4 linked regions of the Saccharomyces cerevisiae S288C genome follow. The gene in region 1 interacts genetically with each later gene. Each region holds a gene or a part of one and is shown in the gene's direction. Other genes may lie near its edges.

What was found.
Region 2: mutations in HPT1 (region 1) and SHM2 together harm fitness more than expected from each alone (negative genetic interaction), as found in Saccharomyces cerevisiae (4 studies listed by BioGRID).
Region 3: mutations in HPT1 (region 1) and ADE1 together harm fitness more than expected from each alone (negative genetic interaction), as found in Saccharomyces cerevisiae (3 studies listed by BioGRID).
Region 4: mutations in HPT1 (region 1) and SER1 together harm fitness more than expected from each alone (negative genetic interaction), as found in Saccharomyces cerevisiae (4 studies listed by BioGRID).

What each region holds. Positions count from the first base shown.
Region 1 is NC_001136.10:1,267,738-1,272,121, forward strand, and holds HPT1 (hypoxanthine phosphoribosyltransferase), read left to right. Parts: upstream 1-2,330; coding exon 2,331-2,996; downstream 2,997-4,384. Other genes in the region: UTP5 (Utp5p), read left to right, coding at 1-1,665; URH1 (trifunctional uridine nucleosidase/nicotinamide riboside hydrolase/nicotinic acid riboside hydrolase), read left to right, coding at 3,326-4,348. UniProt on the Saccharomyces cerevisiae protein: Converts guanine to guanosine monophosphate, and hypoxanthine to inosine monophosphate. Transfers the 5-phosphoribosyl group from 5-phosphoribosylpyrophosphate onto the purine.
Region 2 is NC_001144.5:256,712-261,942, reverse strand, and holds SHM2 (glycine hydroxymethyltransferase SHM2), read left to right. Parts: upstream 1-2,541; coding exon 2,542-3,951; downstream 3,952-5,231. Other genes in the region: FRS1 (phenylalanine--tRNA ligase subunit beta), read right to left, coding at 1-964; REX2 (Rex2p), read left to right, coding at 1,396-2,205; putative mannosidase MNL2, read right to left, coding at 4,088-5,231. UniProt on the Saccharomyces cerevisiae protein: Interconversion of serine and glycine.
Region 3 is NC_001133.9:167,084-171,446, forward strand, and holds ADE1 (phosphoribosylaminoimidazolesuccinocarboxamide synthase), read left to right. Parts: upstream 1-2,291; coding exon 2,292-3,212; downstream 3,213-4,363. Other genes in the region: protein phosphatase regulator BUD14, read right to left, coding at 1-1,788; serine/threonine protein kinase KIN3, read right to left, coding at 3,313-4,363. UniProt on the Saccharomyces cerevisiae protein: Catalyzes the reaction of 4-carboxy-5-aminoimidazole ribotide (CAIR) and aspartic acid with the formation of N-succinyl-5-amino-imidazole-4-carboxamide ribotide (SAICAR) in the purine biosynthesis pathway.
Region 4 is NC_001147.6:676,993-681,690, forward strand, and holds SER1 (O-phospho-L-serine:2-oxoglutarate transaminase), read left to right. Parts: upstream 1-2,364; coding exon 2,365-3,552; downstream 3,553-4,698. Other genes in the region: actin-binding protein LAS17, read left to right, coding at 1-848; 40S ribosomal protein eS30 RPS30B, read right to left, coding at 1,199-1,387, 1,799-1,801; FYV12 (Fyv12p), read left to right, coding at 1,880-2,269; Ran GTPase GSP2, read right to left, coding at 4,452-4,698. UniProt on the Saccharomyces cerevisiae protein: Phosphoserine aminotransferase (PSAT) is a pyridoxal 5'-phosphate-dependent enzyme involved in the second step of the phosphorylated pathway of serine biosynthesis.

The sequences.
Region 1 (4,384 bases):
GTATTGGCCAACGAAGTCACCTATAAATTCACTACGGGGAATTCTTACGAAATCAAAGACATAGACTTGATGGGTAATCAACTGTGGTGTATCGACTCCAGCGACGCATTCTATCAGTTCGATCTGTTACAATTCAAACTGTTACAACATTTTAGAATAAACAACTGCGTTCAATTGAATAAACTAACCATTGTTCCAGCAGGCGATTCTGTTGCACAACTTTTGGTTGCATCCCATTCCATTTCTTTAATAGACATCGAAGAGAAAAAAGTCGTAATGACATTTCCCGGTCATGTATCTCCAGTGTCCACATTGCAAGTTATAACTAATGAATTTTTCATATCAGGCGCAGAGGGTGATAGATTCTTGAACGTATATGATATTCATTCCGGTATGACCAAATGCGTCCTTGTGGCTGAATCAGATATCAAGGAGTTATCTCATTCAGGCCAAGCCGATTCTATCGCAGTCACTACCGAGGATGGTAGCTTGGAAATTTTTGTTGATCCATTGGTATCGAGTTCAACAAAGAAAAGAGGCAACAAGTCCAAAAAATCCAGCAAAAAGATTCAAATCGTCAGTAAAGACGGCAGGAAAGTTCCAATTTATAACGCATTTATTAATAAAGACCTTTTGAACGTATCGTGGTTACAAAATGCTACTATGCCTTACTTCAAGAACTTGCAGTGGAGAGAAATCCCTAATGAATATACCGTCGAAATTTCCCTAAATTGGAATAATAAAAATAAGTCCGCCGATCGCGATCTACACGGTAAAGATCTTGCCTCAGCCACCAACTACGTGGAAGGTAATGCAAGAGTCACCTCTGGAGATAACTTCAAGCATGTTGATGACGCTATAAAGAGCTGGGAAAGAGAATTGACTTCTTTGGAACAAGAACAGGCCAAGCCCCCACAGGCCAATGAACTATTAACAGAAACATTTGGTGATAAGCTAGAATCAAGCACCGTCGCAAGGATTAGTGGGAAAAAAACAAATTTAAAAGGTTCCAATCTCAAGACTGCTACGACAACCGGGACGGTAACAGTAATTCTGTCGCAAGCACTACAATCAAATGATCATTCACTGTTGGAAACAGTGCTCAATAATCGTGACGAGAGGGTCATTAGGGATACTATCTTCCGTCTGAAACCAGCACTGGCTGTCATTCTCTTAGAAAGGTTGGCAGAGAGGATTGCAAGACAAACCCACCGTCAAGGCCCATTGAATGTTTGGGTAAAATGGTGTTTAATCATACACGGTGGCTATTTGGTTTCTATTCCAAATTTGATGTCTACTCTATCGTCGTTACATTCCACCTTGAAAAGGCGTTCCGACTTATTACCAAGGCTACTAGCACTGGATGCAAGGTTAGACTGTACTATAAATAAATTCAAAACTTTGAACTATGAAGCAGGCGACATCCACTCATCCGAACCAGTTGTCGAAGAGGACGAAGACGACGTTGAATATAACGAAGAACTCGATGATGCCGGCCTTATAGAGGACGGTGAAGAATCTTATGGCAGTGAAGAAGAAGAAGAAGGTGATAGTGACAACGAAGAGGAACAGAAGCATACCTCATCTAAGCAAGATGGCCGTTTAGAAACGGAGCAGAGCGACGGCGAGGAGGAAGCCGGATATAGTGACGTTGAGATGGAATAGAGGATATCATGCATAAAATGCTTTCACGCATCAGAATACAAAAATAATCTCTAGGCACATAAATACTTATATAGAGTTCACCACATAATGTAAGAAAAGAAAAAAGAAAAAAAAAGATCACGAAAGTATCCCACGCGAAGAAGATCTGTCAAAAGACCCCCACAATCGTTTATCCTTTTTGAACTGCATCTGGCATCGTTAACAGTAAGGCCATCTGGAACATCAAGCAAGCACTCCACTTTTACGTCACAACCATAGTTGGTTAACTAAGAAAAGACAGTACATATTTCCCTTCCGAGTCACTTATTTTTTTTTTCTTCTGAAAAAATTAATTAGATTAATTTCAATTAATATCATTTCCGCTTATCTGACTTCTTTCATTTTTTTTCTCTATATTTCGCGTTTACTAGGAAAGAAAAGGAAAAAAAATTTTTCCCCCTCCATCTGTCCCAAATCGGGTAGCGATGAGCTGCTATAGAATTTTCTATTTAAACATGTTTGATAAGCCCAATTTCCGTTAGATTTTGTTCCCCCTTCGCAGTTTGGTTTGCCGTAACTTTTTTATTTTAGTCTCCATCTAGCTGGAGTAATACGATGTAGTGCCTTGTAATCTTTCTTATTTTTATATTACCGTTCGTGTTCATTATATCCATTACGTTCCCATAATGTCGGCAAACGATAAGCAATACATCTCGTACAACAACGTACATCAACTATGTCAAGTATCCGCTGAGAGAATTAAGAATTTCAAGCCGGACTTAATCATTGCCATTGGTGGTGGTGGTTTCATTCCTGCTAGGATCCTACGTACGTTCCTAAAGGAGCCCGGCGTGCCAACCATCAGAATTTTTGCTATTATTTTGTCTTTGTACGAAGATTTGAACAGTGTAGGCTCAGAAGTTGAGGAAGTTGGTGTTAAGGTTAGCAGAACACAATGGATTGATTACGAGCAATGTAAATTAGATCTAGTCGGCAAGAACGTTCTTATCGTTGACGAAGTCGATGACACCCGTACCACACTTCATTACGCTTTGAGTGAATTGGAAAAGGATGCAGCTGAACAGGCAAAGGCTAAAGGTATCGATACTGAAAAGTCTCCAGAGATGAAAACAAACTTCGGGATTTTTGTTCTACACGATAAGCAAAAACCAAAGAAAGCAGATTTGCCTGCCGAAATGTTGAATGACAAGAACCGTTATTTTGCAGCTAAAACTGTTCCAGACAAGTGGTATGCATATCCATGGGAATCTACTGACATTGTTTTCCATACTAGAATGGCTATTGAACAGGGCAATGACATCTTTATTCCTGAGCAGGAACACAAGCAATGATAGACATATCATATCCTTCAGTAACTTGAATCATACAGCAGAATTTGTACAATAGACAACGCATATAACTGCGACCATATGTATACGTATAACTAATTATTATCTCAAAGTTTATTCCCTTAGCCTCACCGGTAACCTGTGAGGCGCGATTACGTTTTCCCTCTGTTCACCACCACGTAACGCGATATTTGACACATACGTGACAACTACTTTTGATGGAATCTGCTGATTTTTTTACCTCACGAAACTTATTAAAACAGATAATTTCCCTCATCTGCAAGGTTGGGGAAGGGTTGGACAGCAATAACCAGCGACTGTTTGAAGAAAAGATGACTGTTAGTAAAATACCCATATGGCTAGATTGTGATCCTGGTCATGATGATGCCATAGCCATTTTATTAGGCTGTTTCCATCCAGCTTTCAATCTTCTAGGAATCAGCACGTGTTTTGGTAACGCACCGCCAGAGAATACTGACTACAACGCCCGTTCTCTTTTGACTGCGATGGGCAAAGCACAAGCGATTCCAGTTTATAAAGGCGCACAGAGACCTTGGAAAAGGGAACCTCATTATGCTCCTGACATTCATGGTATATCAGGTTTAGACGGCACTTCTTTGCTACCTAAGCCAACATTTGAGGCAAGAACTGATAAAACGTATATTGAGGCCATTGAAGAGGCGATTCTAGCTAACAATGGAGAGATATCCTTTGTGTCTACTGGTGCACTTACCACATTAGCAACAGTTTTTAGGTGTAAACCATACCTAAAAAAATCTGTCAAATATATTAGCATTATGGGGGGTGGACTCCATGGTCTAGGAAACTGTAACCCAAATCTTTCTGCTGAATTCAACGTTTGGATTGATCCTGACGCAGCGAATTACATATTCCGTGATCCCGATGTAAAGGACAAATGTATAGTAGTTCCTCTAAATTTAACTCACAAGGCCATAGCTACTTACAAGGTTAACGAAATGATATACAACGAAAAGAATAACAGCAAGTTACGAGAATTGTTTTTGGAGCTTTTTCAATTTTTTGCTCATACCTACAAGGATATGCAAGGATTTGAATCGGGCCCACCTATACATGATCCGGTAGCTTTGATGCCGCTTTTGGAATTTTATGGGTGGGATCCATCGTCTGCGGTTGGATTTCGCTACAAGAGAATGGACATATCCTGCATTGATGATGTTTTCAACGAAAACTCAGGGAAAATTATCATTGAAAAAGAATATCCAAATGACAGTGATGTTGGTACAATAATTGGTCTCGATTTGAATATCCAGTACTTTTGGGATCAGATTTTTGAAGCATTAAATAGAGCAGACAAAATGTCAACGATTGGATAAGAACTTCTATAAAAGGCTTTTTTTTTTTCTACTGAC
Region 2 (5,231 bases), on another chromosome or scaffold:
TTAGACAATGAGCAATTTCATCAGCGGATTGATCTAGGCCAAGACAGGAGTTGATGTACTTAATGGAGACATCCATAATTCTATCGTTGAAGTTTGGCGCCAAACGGGATTGGCCATTGTGTTCAGAGACAATTTCTACAGGCTCAACCGTGAATGGTTCGTCACAATAACGTGAGAACATTGTAGTTAATATGTTCAAAACGATCTCGGCTTTGGTCTTATCGGTGGCGGTTATATCAATCAAAATGTTACGGGTGTTCACAGAGATCTTCGAATGTTCACTATTGATTAATGGTGGCAGGGAGCAAACACGATCTTTGCTGTCCATAATAACTGGGAAGACTGGAGAATCCTCAATAATGTGAACGTATCTCCCTATGTTGTTTTTCTGTTCTGGAGATTTATAAAACTCGATCAATTTGTCACCAGTAAACTCTTGGGTTTGATTCAATGGTACGAACTTGATGTCCTTTGGTGGTAGAGCTCTGTAATGGAATGGACCTTCAATTGAATCTAAATCGTGAGTACCCATGGCAACCAAGCTTCTGTTTCTACATAGATTGGCATGTAATTTATCTTGCAAGGCAATAAAAGAAGCGTAAGATTTTTCGTTAAGCTTGATATTTCTCAATACAGCAGCGGTAGCAAAAGGTCTAATTTGCTCCGTTGATTTGTCGATGATCAACTTAGTGGTTGGCTTGCTTAATTTATAGTCAGGTCTTTCTTTACGTTCCAAGTATTCGTTCAGCGACTGTGAAATACCTTCGATACAAAGCAAATCGTAACGATTGGCACTGATATCAAGCTTCAATTCCGGCTCCTCCCCGGTTTTCAAGGCCTCCTCTGTGGTGTCTTCGTCCATTTCCATACCGAATTCAAAACATAATTCATCGAACTCTTGGGAAGTGTAGTTTTTGCCTAGAAGATCAAATAATTGCTGCTTGTTCACGGAGACGGTAGGCATGCTGGCTCGGTGTTATTGATGTGTGTTATGCTATTCTGCCCTATTTTTTGAACATTTGATCAACTCCAGGCTTTCGAGAAATACATTGAAAATTTTTCATTTCCTTCAATTTTCTTTCTTTTTTGGTACCGATTCTGAATAATCGGTCACCTCGTGTGTCGTGATAAATAATCAAGAAGATGTACTTTTATACAAGGGTTGTAGTCATCTGGGACACTCTCAGAGCACTGGCTCTGACGACAACCATCAAACGCATGCTCATACGTATAATTCAAGCCTTACATACACTGGTATTCCCTTTGGGGTGTTTCTTTTTCCTGTCAAGTTGGGCACTTAAAAGAACTAATAAAAAATCAGTGTGAACTTTTCGATTTGCAAAGAAAATGAAAAAAAAGAAAAGGAGCTTTCACAAATAAACAGAAGAGATCAAGATGAAGTGGTTGTTGTTTCCGGCAAGAATCGTAGCTCGCACTCGCCCAAACCTCTTCTCGCTGTACAGAAGATCCGTTTCACAGTACTTACGTCCTCGAACCATCCAAAACCTGCAATCAATGGCGCAAACACCCGAACTTAAAACCAAGCTGTTCAAACCCTTGGTCTGGATCGACTGCGAGATGACCGGTTTAGACCACGTGAATGACAGAATTATCGAGATTTGCTGCATCATCACCGATGGACACCTGGCACCCGTCAAAGCGGCCGATGGCCAAGGAGACTCGCATTATGAGAGCGTCATCCATTATGGTCCCGAGGTGATGAACAAAATGAACGAGTGGTGTATTGAGCACCACGGTAATAGCGGTCTCACCGCCAAAGTTTTGGCAAGTGAGAAGACTTTGGCCCAGGTAGAAGATGAGCTGCTCGAGTACATCCAGCGCTACATCCCAGACAAGAACGTTGGCGTCTTGGCAGGCAATAGTGTACATATGGACCGCTTGTTCATGGTCCGCGAGTTTCCCAAGGTCATTGATCATCTCTTTTACAGAATAGTTGACGTCAGTAGCATCATGGAAGTTGCCCGCAGACACAATCCCGCTTTACAAGCACGTAATCCAAAAAAAGAAGCTGCCCACACTGCTTATAGTGATATCAAAGAGAGCATAGCTCAATTGCAATGGTACATGGACAACTACTTGAAGCCACCACAGGAAACAGAGTCGGTCGAGTCAATCGGATCTGAACAGCCGGAGTCACCATCTTCATCTACCTCATCTTTGAAAAGACAACGCACCGATTTTTAATGTAGAAAAAAAAAAAGAAAAAAGAAGTGAAATTTTTCAAATATTTCACACACGAAACATGACTCCTGGTGAGAAATGACCCTTTCAGGTTGCTTTGACCATAAAGGTTTGACTCTATCTCTTGGGTTTCTCATGTTCGCTTTTTACTCTGTATAATTTTTAAATTCATAATCATCTTAGACCGAACCATGAGTCTTCTTCATCTTGTTTTATATATAATGCAGAACTTGCTTCCCTTAGTTTGCGTTCAGTAATCTTTCCTTCTTCTAGTGTAACCTTTACGAAAGATACTACCCCATAGCAAAGCATAACAGCTTAAACCGAATCCTCCTTAACATGCCTTACACTCTATCCGACGCTCATCATAAGTTGATCACCTCTCATTTGGTGGACACCGACCCTGAAGTGGACTCCATTATCAAGGATGAAATTGAAAGACAAAAGCACTCCATCGATTTGATTGCTTCTGAAAATTTCACCTCAACCTCCGTTTTCGATGCCCTTGGAACTCCATTGTCCAACAAATACTCTGAAGGTTATCCAGGTGCTCGTTACTACGGTGGTAATGAACACATTGACAGAATGGAAATTCTATGTCAACAAAGAGCTTTGAAAGCTTTCCATGTTACTCCAGACAAATGGGGTGTTAACGTCCAAACTTTATCTGGTTCTCCTGCTAACTTGCAGGTTTATCAAGCTATTATGAAGCCTCATGAAAGATTGATGGGTCTATACCTACCAGATGGTGGTCATTTGTCTCACGGTTACGCTACTGAAAACAGAAAAATTTCTGCTGTTTCCACATACTTCGAATCTTTCCCATACAGAGTTAACCCAGAAACCGGTATTATCGACTACGATACTTTAGAAAAGAACGCCATCCTATATAGACCAAAGGTTCTTGTTGCTGGTACTTCAGCATACTGTCGTTTAATTGACTACAAGAGAATGAGAGAAATCGCCGACAAATGTGGTGCTTACTTGATGGTAGACATGGCCCACATTTCTGGTTTGATCGCCGCAGGTGTCATCCCATCTCCTTTCGAATACGCTGATATCGTTACCACCACCACTCACAAGTCTTTGAGAGGTCCACGTGGTGCTATGATTTTCTTCAGAAGAGGTGTGAGATCTATCAACCCTAAGACCGGTAAGGAAGTTCTATACGACTTGGAAAACCCAATTAACTTCTCTGTTTTCCCAGGTCACCAAGGTGGTCCACACAACCATACCATTGCTGCTTTGGCCACTGCTTTGAAGCAAGCTGCCACTCCAGAATTCAAGGAATACCAAACTCAAGTCTTGAAGAATGCTAAGGCTTTGGAAAGTGAATTTAAGAACTTGGGCTACAGATTAGTTTCCAACGGTACCGATTCTCACATGGTTCTAGTATCCTTGAGAGAAAAGGGTGTTGATGGTGCTCGTGTTGAATACATTTGTGAAAAGATTAACATTGCTTTGAACAAAAACTCTATTCCAGGTGACAAATCTGCTTTGGTTCCAGGTGGTGTCCGTATTGGGGCTCCAGCCATGACCACTAGAGGAATGGGTGAAGAAGATTTCCACAGAATTGTTCAATACATTAACAAGGCTGTAGAATTCGCTCAACAAGTTCAACAAAGCTTGCCAAAGGATGCTTGTAGATTAAAGGACTTCAAAGCCAAGGTCGACGAAGGCTCTGATGTTTTGAACACCTGGAAAAAGGAAATTTACGACTGGGCTGGCGAATACCCATTGGCTGTGTAAAGAAATCACCACAACGACACTTAATCCCAAAAAAATAAACATTACTGTATAAGTATTCATTTTCTCCTCTTCTCATTATGTATATATGTACCTATATGTATGTATGTATGTGCGTACGATTTTTCTAACGTTAACTTCATTTCTTTTTGATTATGTGCCCTCCTTGAGTTAAGATGTGTTTGTCCAGGGAAACCTTGTCACCATCGCTGAATAGTAGCAAATAGTATTTTAATGTTCTGGAGAACCAATAGCTAGGTAAATCATTGTTCACTTTTTCACCGTTTTCATAAAATTCCTTTATTTGCCACAATCCTTTGGCACCACTGTTTAGTTCCATTAATTCTTGCATTAAGATTCCAAAAGACTGCTTACCCATGCTTCTCCATTTTTGTTCTCCACTGATTCTGTACATATAAAATATAGATTCAATGATATTCGAATCCAACAATCTTCTGGATTCTACCTTGTTGACCCAAAATGGCCAGTCTGGATGGTTTTTCCACTGAGAACCCATGGTATCGTCCGTTGTAATATGCGGTTTGATATCCTTACCAAGCGTAAAAACTCTACGTATTTGCGTTACTTCGTCGCCGTCTATTTCAGCAATCGATTTCGAGCTTCCAACAGTATCACCTTTTATGTTTTGAGTCTCTGTTATCCCATCTTTGCTTAGTACATTTCTCTTAGCTTTCTGGTCATTCCCACCTTTCCCATAATTCGAAACTTTGATCCCGACATCTAGGTCATTTTCAAAAGTTTCATATTCGCCGTTGGCAATCATTCGTGATTTAGTTTCGCCGTTAAACTCGCAATTCCCATTAGTCTCATCAGTGCAAGGGTCCAACTCGAATTTTTGAGGGAGCAGCCCGTCGAACTCCTCCATTAGCATAAAACAACTTTCTGTTATTATTTCGCTCATTTCCAATAGTGACGATGGTAAAATATATTTCGTGTTGACACCGCCTCGGTGGGGAACACGTGAACTTAAACCTAGAATGCCGCCAAGTCTGCATGAGTATAACGAGACATCGTAAGATTTTCTTATCGTGACATCTAGCTCATTAGTCGTGGGCATGAATTGAGATTTTGTTAGAATGGAATTCAGAAAATTAAACTTTTTGTTTTCCGTTTGCTTGGGCAACATGGGTCGAAAAGTCATGAATTTAAAAATGTTACTGATGGAATTTGTTAAAAACGTTTGCGAGTCTATTAATGATTTATCACCTACGGTGTTTTTTGTCGAATCTTTTTTAGTACCGTCTTTAAAGTTTCTTTTCTCA
Region 3 (4,363 bases), on another chromosome or scaffold:
CCCCTCTGTGTTTTCCACGTTTGTTGTCTCTTCAATTTTCGATTTTGCATGAATATATTGTGAAATGTCCTTTATTGCTCTAGATGATGGAATACTGCTGCTTTCTTCAACTATTGGAGTGGATGGTGATTCGTTTGTCCATTCTGACGACGACGGTGAAAACTCGCCAATTGTTGAAAGGGAATTTTGAGAGTCTGATTTTGCCATACCATTCGCAAATGGCATACGAGGCGCTTCAAATACTTTTTTCAGATCGGTATCGTAATCACTGTCAACCGGTTCAGACTTTTCTTGCCCCACATACCGATTTGCATTATAATCATCTTCTCTGTCTTTACTCGATGATGTCTTAGGCTCACTTTCGTTTTTGTTGTCTTGTCTCCGAACTTTTTTCACATTTAGTGGTGTATTCAAAGATGTACTAAAGGAGACGTCGCTCACTACATCGCTCGTATCATCATCCTGGAATTTGCCAAAATTTAACTTCGCTTCAGTGTATTCGTCCCGGTGCGTTACTTTTGTTTCCTTGTCGTTATCAACATCATCGTCGTACGACTGTCCATTGCCTTCACCGCCATCATCGTTACTATCTAACGAGGTATCTTCAATTGCATCATCTATAAACCTGTCTGCATAACCGACAACATCATTGAAACTAACAGATTTGTTCCCCTTACCATATCCATTCAGTGCAGGTGTCGGAATTATACTCTCTGCATCACTTTGATTCTTGTTACCAGAGCTGATGGAATCATCTTTCGAATCGGAGGAAGCAACCGATTGAGAAGACATGTTTTCATTTTTCCAGCAATTCAATCGAGCTAGTCTTTCTGGAAAGGTTTCTAGAATTTCCGCTGGCGCAAACCCGATTTTACCATCAGTGATCCTCTTAACCAGCCACCAATAGGCATCCTGGTCATTCAAAAGTATACAAGGTTCGTCTTGCCCTAATTGACAATGTGAAGAATCATGGCCATTGAACGCATATAAAGCATATAGTTTATCAGGGTCCAGTTCTCTTGGCGGCGATAAGGGTTGGTAATCGTCGTTTTCCTCCTCCAAATCGTCTTTCTCCCCTTGAAACCCTGAATCTTGAAATTTTCTGTCAAAGTCATCGTCATCAGAGTAGTTTTCCTCTTCATCCTCGTCCTCCGAGATGGCGTATTTCAAGCCATCACTAAAATCGTCAACGTCAGGGTTCATTGTATTATTCACTGAAAAATGCACCTCATCCTTATCGGCGCTATCCACGGAATCAGTTTCGATCTCTTGTAGCCTTCTTTCCAAATTGTCCTCAAATTCAGAATCCGAATAATCATATGAGTCGGGCAATTCCGAAGAATTTTCTTTGTAATGTCGCTGATCCCTTTTACTGTTGCTATGCATATGTTTTTCCACGTTCTCCTCCTCTAACTCTTTGTCATCATCTCTATTTCGCAGAACATCATGGCCCTTTTCTGCCGCATTACTCAGTATATTAAGTTTCGAATTGAAGGGCGAACTCTTATTCGAAGTCGGAGTCACCACAACACTTCCGCCCATACTCTCCGAATCCTCGTTTCCTAAAGTAAGTTTACTTCCACTTGTAGGCCTATTATTAATGATATCTGAATAATCCTCTATTAGGGTTGGATCATTCAGTAGCGCGTGCGATTGAAAGGAGTCCATGCCCGACGTCGACGTGATTAGCGAAGGCGCGTAACCATTGTCATGTCTAGCAGCTATAGAACTAACCTCCTTGACACCACTTGCGGAAGTCTCATCAACATGCTCTTCCTTATTACTCATTCTCTTACCAAGCAGAGAATGTTATCTAAAAACTACGTGTATTTCACCTCTTTCTCGACTTGAACACGTCCAACTCCTTAAGTACTACCACAGCCAGGAAAGAATGGATCCAGTTCTACACGATAGCAAAGCAGAAAACACAACCAGCGTACCCCTGTAGAAGCTTCTTTGTTTACAGCACTTGATCCATGTAGCCATACTCGAAATTTCAACTCATCTGAAACTTTTCCTGAAGGTTGAAAAAGAATGCCATAAGGGTCACCCGAAGCTTATTCACGAGTCAGTCTGACTCTTGCGAGAGATGAGGATGTAATAATACTAATCTCGAAGATGCCATCTAATACATATAGACATACATATATATATATATACATTCTATATATTCTTACCCAGATTCTTTGAGGTAAGACGGTTGGGTTTTATCTTTTGCAGTTGGTACTATTAAGAACAATCGAATCATAAGCATTGCTTACAAAGAATACACATACGAAATATTAACGATAATGTCAATTACGAAGACTGAACTGGACGGTATATTGCCATTGGTGGCCAGAGGTAAAGTTAGAGACATATATGAGGTAGACGCTGGTACGTTGCTGTTTGTTGCTACGGATCGTATCTCTGCATATGACGTTATTATGGAAAACAGCATTCCTGAAAAGGGGATCCTATTGACCAAACTGTCAGAGTTCTGGTTCAAGTTCCTGTCCAACGATGTTCGTAATCATTTGGTCGACATCGCCCCAGGTAAGACTATTTTCGATTATCTACCTGCAAAATTGAGCGAACCAAAGTACAAAACGCAACTAGAAGACCGCTCTCTATTGGTTCACAAACATAAACTAATTCCATTGGAAGTAATTGTCAGAGGCTACATCACCGGATCTGCTTGGAAAGAGTACGTAAAAACAGGTACTGTGCATGGTTTGAAACAACCTCAAGGACTTAAAGAATCTCAAGAGTTCCCAGAACCAATCTTCACCCCATCGACCAAGGCTGAACAAGGTGAACATGACGAAAACATCTCTCCTGCCCAGGCCGCTGAGCTGGTGGGTGAAGATTTGTCACGTAGAGTGGCAGAACTGGCTGTAAAACTGTACTCCAAGTGCAAAGATTATGCTAAGGAGAAGGGCATCATCATCGCAGACACTAAATTCGAATTCGGTATTGACGAAAAGACCAATGAAATTATTCTAGTGGACGAGGTGCTAACGCCAGACTCCTCTAGATTCTGGAACGGTGCCTCTTATAAGGTAGGAGAATCCCAAGATTCTTACGATAAGCAATTTTTAAGAGACTGGCTTACTGCTAATAAGTTGAACGGTGTTAACGGCGTCAAAATGCCCCAAGACATTGTCGACAGGACAAGGGCCAAATATATAGAGGCTTATGAAACATTGACAGGGTCTAAATGGTCTCACTAACGTGATTTACATATACTACAAGTCGCCAGTGTAACTCCTCACTGAATATGATTCATACATACCCGTATGTATTAATGTATAAATGTTCTCAGAGCAAATTTTATCGATATCTTGTTTGCCAGTGGTATGCAGGTTTGGCAAATTTTTTACCATAATATCCGTTTATAGATTCTGGAACCTTACCAACTTTCTTACCGCTAATTACTTCCCTGGCTCGCTCCTCCACTGCCTGGGTAAATTGTTCCTTCAACTGACTCAGTTCTCTTTCGTATTCAATAGCTTGCTTCTCGAGGATTTTTTCAATGTTTGTCAGCTCATTTTCATAGTCCAGTAACTTCCTTTCAAATCTCTCTAATTGCAACGACTTTCTTGCAGTTCGTATCTGAATATCTTGCAGTAATTCAAAAGTGGAAGGCCTGGTTCTTAAGTTCACATCTATCATTGAATGTATTATGGCATTAAGCCCTCTAGAGTAATACTCAGGGACGGTGTCACATTTCCCGTTTTTAATCTTAGTTTGTAGCTCGAGATAATTTTTTGCCTGAAATGGGGGGTGCAACGAACACATCTCAAAAATAACACAACCTAGTGACCAGATGTCGGATAGTGGGGAGTATGGTTGGTCCATCAACACTTCAGGCGACATGTAATATGGTGTACCGACGTATGTTGTGGCAAATTGAATACTAGTTTCCAGAGATTTGGCTAACCCAAAATCACCTAACTTTACCACAACTTGACTATAGTCCATAGGGCTCCCCCTTTTCCCTGAATTCACTCTATGGTCTCTGTAATAATTACTATTCACTTCCTCGTGACCGTCTACTTGTTCATTAATATTGTAATCGCTATCATCATAGCTTAAGAATATATTTCCTGGTTTCAGATCACGATGGATAACGATGTTTTTGCCTTTTACCGGTGGTTTCATCCGGTCATATATTGTGGTCAAAGTTGGCAATTCAACACCATAATGACATTTATAGAGCGCAGTCAATAATTGGGCCAGGATACCCCACACAATTTTTTCTGGTATATATTTATGCTCCTGTTTGTAGTGCTTAATCATCTGGGATAAATCACCCCTGGAACAATATTCCATATAAAGGTATAACACTTCTTTTTGTTCATCGAAGTCCCAGTTATAAAAT
Region 4 (4,698 bases), on another chromosome or scaffold:
CAGCACCACCGCCTCCACCACATAGGCACGTAACCAGTAATACCCTGAATTCTGCCGGTGGAAATAGCCTCCTTCCACAGGCCACTGGAAGAAGAGGGCCAGCACCACCACCTCCTCCAAGAGCATCTCGCCCCACACCAAACGTTACGATGCAACAAAATCCACAACAGTACAATAATTCTAACCGCCCCTTTGGATATCAGACAAATAGCAACATGTCATCTCCACCCCCTCCTCCAGTGACAACTTTCAATACCCTGACACCACAAATGACTGCAGCAACTGGACAACCTGCAGTTCCCCTTCCTCAGAATACTCAAGCACCTTCGCAAGCCACAAATGTGCCAGTGGCACCACCACCTCCTCCGGCATCTTTAGGCCAGTCGCAGATACCTCAGTCAGCACCCTCAGCACCTATTCCGCCAACGTTACCATCGACGACGAGTGCTGCACCACCTCCGCCACCAGCATTCCTAACTCAACAACCTCAATCTGGAGGAGCTCCAGCTCCACCCCCACCTCCTCAAATGCCAGCTACATCAACATCCGGAGGCGGTTCATTCGCTGAAACTACTGGAGATGCAGGTCGTGATGCACTTTTAGCTTCAATTAGAGGGGCAGGTGGCATAGGCGCTTTGAGAAAAGTTGACAAATCGCAGCTAGATAAGCCCTCAGTTTTACTGCAGGAAGCACGTGGAGAATCTGCTTCACCACCAGCAGCGGCTGGAAATGGAGGCACACCTGGTGGACCTCCGGCTTCTTTAGCAGATGCGTTGGCAGCAGCTTTAAACAAAAGAAAAACTAAAGTGGGAGCTCATGACGATATGGACAATGGTGATGATTGGTAATGGAATGCAAACAAAGATGAAACTACTGTTATAGAAAATATGTAATTTTATGTACTCACTATTAATGATCAAAGTAATTGCTCTTTTTATGTATAGTTTCTTTAATCGGAGGAAATTTTGATATAGGTTCAAAGGCGGTCAGTGATTGAATGATCAAGGTAATAGTCGGGCTACAATGATGGCCATCCCTATGGCCGTTTCAAATGTTTGAGAAAATGATGTATAGTAAATCCTAGATTTTAGCAGTTCGAATCAAAAACCCATGTAAAAAGGGTAAATATTTCCTAATTATAATATTTTTGTTTAATTACACATGTAGAACAATAAAAGTATAGAATTTTAGATAGTATCTATTGGACAGATGGACCTGGGTTCATTCTTCTCTTACCGTTAACCAAGGTAACGTTAACGAATCTTCTGGTGTACAATAATCTCTTGTAAGCACGACCCTTTGGTTTCTTTGGCTTTTCAGTTTTTTCAACCTTTGGAGTTTGAGACTTAACTTTACCAGCACGAGCTAGAGAACCGTGAACTTTAGCCTAAGGAGAATTTGAAAAAAAAAAAATTTTTCATTTAATGTTAGTAATGAGATATTCAGACTTGTGTTATGGAGTTACTGCAACGCAGACGCTAATTTTTTAGGAAAGGTCTATATTCAACATGTTGTGAATATTAACGAGAATAATCGTCCTTTGAAATTCTCGTCTTTCTTCCTTTTTTGTACATTTACATCTCAACATAATAATGATACAATATTTTATTTTCTTTTCATTTTTCAGTCATTATCTACAGGCATTTGATGGATTATTAATATTATCATGGGGCAATCTTTCCTATTCAAAATATTACTTTGATCGTAGTTTTCCCTTTTAATACACCTTCTTCCTGTATGGGGACAAGTTTCCTAAAAAAAGCGTTTCGTGGAGCATTTTAACACAATATTAACGTACCATTTTGTATAATTTGTTTATCTAGTATCTTGAGGAAGGAGTGCTAATTCAGAATCTTCATCCTTAATATTGAAGATTGGGATGAGATTACTTCACCATGGTGAATACGGGACAAAACTAATTGGAGGAAAATGCAGCATAGATGGGAAACTCGGTCACCCTTGCCCGCTAAGCAGAAGACGCAAAAAACATCTGCGCGAAAAAGAAATGGGTCCACAATATGTACGGATGTATGGTCCCAAAAGAAAAGCCATAATAAGGACAGGAAACCCGGATGACGGCATTAATTTACCTGACACCGGCCGAGGCACCTTAACTGCAGCCACAATTTGGTCACGAGCTTACCATTCAAATTATTCTTACCTTGTACGCCCAAAAGTAGTGACTCTTTCTAAGCATCGCGAATTAATGACTACTTTTCTTTTATACGTTTTATATGTATGTATATATATAAGTGCCTTCATAAAATAGACAAAGACATTAAGGAGCCTTTGAAATTACTTAATTGAACAACACAGGTCTAATTAGTTGATCAATCATCGATTAACCATTAGTGATAAGAAACAATGTCTTTGGAAAGAGAGGAACCACAACATTTCGGAGCAGGGCCAGCTCAAATGCCTACACCAGTTTTGCAACAAGCTGCTAAAGACTTAATCAATTTCAATGACATAGGTTTGGGTATCGGTGAAATTTCTCACCGTTCGAAGGATGCCACCAAAGTGATTGAAGACTCTAAGAAGCACTTAATCGAACTGCTAAATATTCCTGACACTCATGAAGTGTTCTACTTGCAAGGTGGTGGCACTACTGGTTTTTCTTCCGTTGCTACTAATTTGGCAGCTGCATATGTGGGTAAGCATGGGAAGATTGCACCTGCCGGTTATTTAGTCACCGGTAGTTGGTCTCAGAAATCTTTTGAAGAGGCAAAGAGATTGCACGTTCCTGCTGAAGTTATCTTCAACGCTAAAGATTATAACAATGGCAAATTTGGTAAAATTCCGGATGAATCCCTTTGGGAAGATAAAATCAAAGGTAAGGCTTTCTCATACGTGTACCTATGTGAGAATGAAACTGTTCATGGTGTTGAATGGCCAGAATTACCAAAATGTTTAGTAAACGACCCCAACATCGAAATTGTTGCTGACTTATCCAGCGACATTTTGTCTCGTAAGATTGACGTTTCTCAATACGGTGTCATCATGGCAGGCGCCCAAAAAAACATTGGTTTAGCAGGCTTAACCCTATACATTATCAAGAAATCCATCCTTAAGAATATTTCTGGCGCTTCTGATGAAACATTACATGAATTGGGAGTACCAATCACCCCTATTGCATTCGACTATCCAACGGTGGTGAAGAACAACTCAGCCTATAATACAATTCCAATTTTCACTTTACATGTTATGGATCTCGTGTTCCAACATATTTTGAAGAAGGGTGGTGTTGAAGCGCAACAGGCTGAAAATGAAGAAAAGGCCAAGATATTATATGAGGCATTGGATGCAAATTCAGATTTTTACAACGTTCCAGTGGATCCAAAGTGTAGATCAAAAATGAATGTCGTTTTCACCCTTAAAAAGGACGGCCTTGATGACCAGTTTCTAAAAGAGGCAGCTGCTCGTCATTTAACCGGTTTGAAAGGACATCGTTCAGTTGGTGGGTTCAGAGCCTCCATCTATAACGCGCTTTCAGTGAAAGCTGTACAAAACTTGGTAGATTTTATCAAGGAATTTGCTGAGAAAAACGCTTAATATCAGCGGAATATGCCTGTAATTTGGTTCAAAGAAAAACTTTTTCAAGTCATATGTAAGTTTTAAATAAATCAGTTTACGAACATGCACAAGAATAACTTCTCTTCTTTTTCTTGAAATAAAGGCCGAATTATACGATATGATATGAGACGTTCTAATTACAATACGATACCGTGAGATAAAAATAGCGATATCCTCGTACTCAAAGAAGTCTAATTGTTTTAGCCCGTTGATCAAAAAAATAAAATGTATTTTTATTTTTTTGTCATCCAGCTCAAGATCGTAATATTGGCAATTAACAACCGAGCGAGGCACAGGGCAAAGAGAATGTGGGTGAGACTGAACTATCTCTCCCAATATATTATACTTTTTTTTGTCGCGTCTACCAATTAAATGAAAACATAATTGGGAATACTTTCCTCTTCTTATATTTTATCTTAACTCGTTTCCGATCTTCTGATATTCTATTTGTATATGAATAAGAACATTATTGTAATCGAAAGAAGTATCTCTTTTCAAGAGGATTACTTTTCATTGAAAACTTTTGGACGGGCAAAAAAAAAAAAGCGCCAGCAGGAAGAAAAAAGGAATCTAGTAAAAAATAAAAATTAGGTTTATAAAGTAGTAAGTGAAGTGCAAGAGGGAGCGTTATTGGACGATCATATTGTGATCGGATCCCGTTTATTGGTCTTTGATTCAATTTAAAAGAAAAGAAATGTACAGGTTAAACTTCAACATACCAAAAAAAAATTACAATGTGGCAATTAAACAGAGAAGAACTAATTCTTTAAAAATAGACTTTCAGAACTATATATTAAAAATAAAAGAAATTTCAAAAAAAAATTTTTAGATTGATGTGAGAAGAAGCAGAATATTTTCGTATATAAATTTTCATGTTTTTATAAATCAGCATCGTCTTCATCAGGTAATGGTAAAGCAGTGGCTTGGTCCATTTCTTGCTGGTATTGGTGCATTAGTTGCTCGTCAACTTGCACCTCAGGTGGGGCCAATGCAGGAGACGCAACAAACTCCAATTGTGGGTTACCGGCAAGTTTTCTAGCCAACCACAAGAAAGGCTTTTCAAAATTATAATTGGATTTTGCAGAAATGTCATAATATTGTAAGTTCTTTTTTCTATGGAAAGTG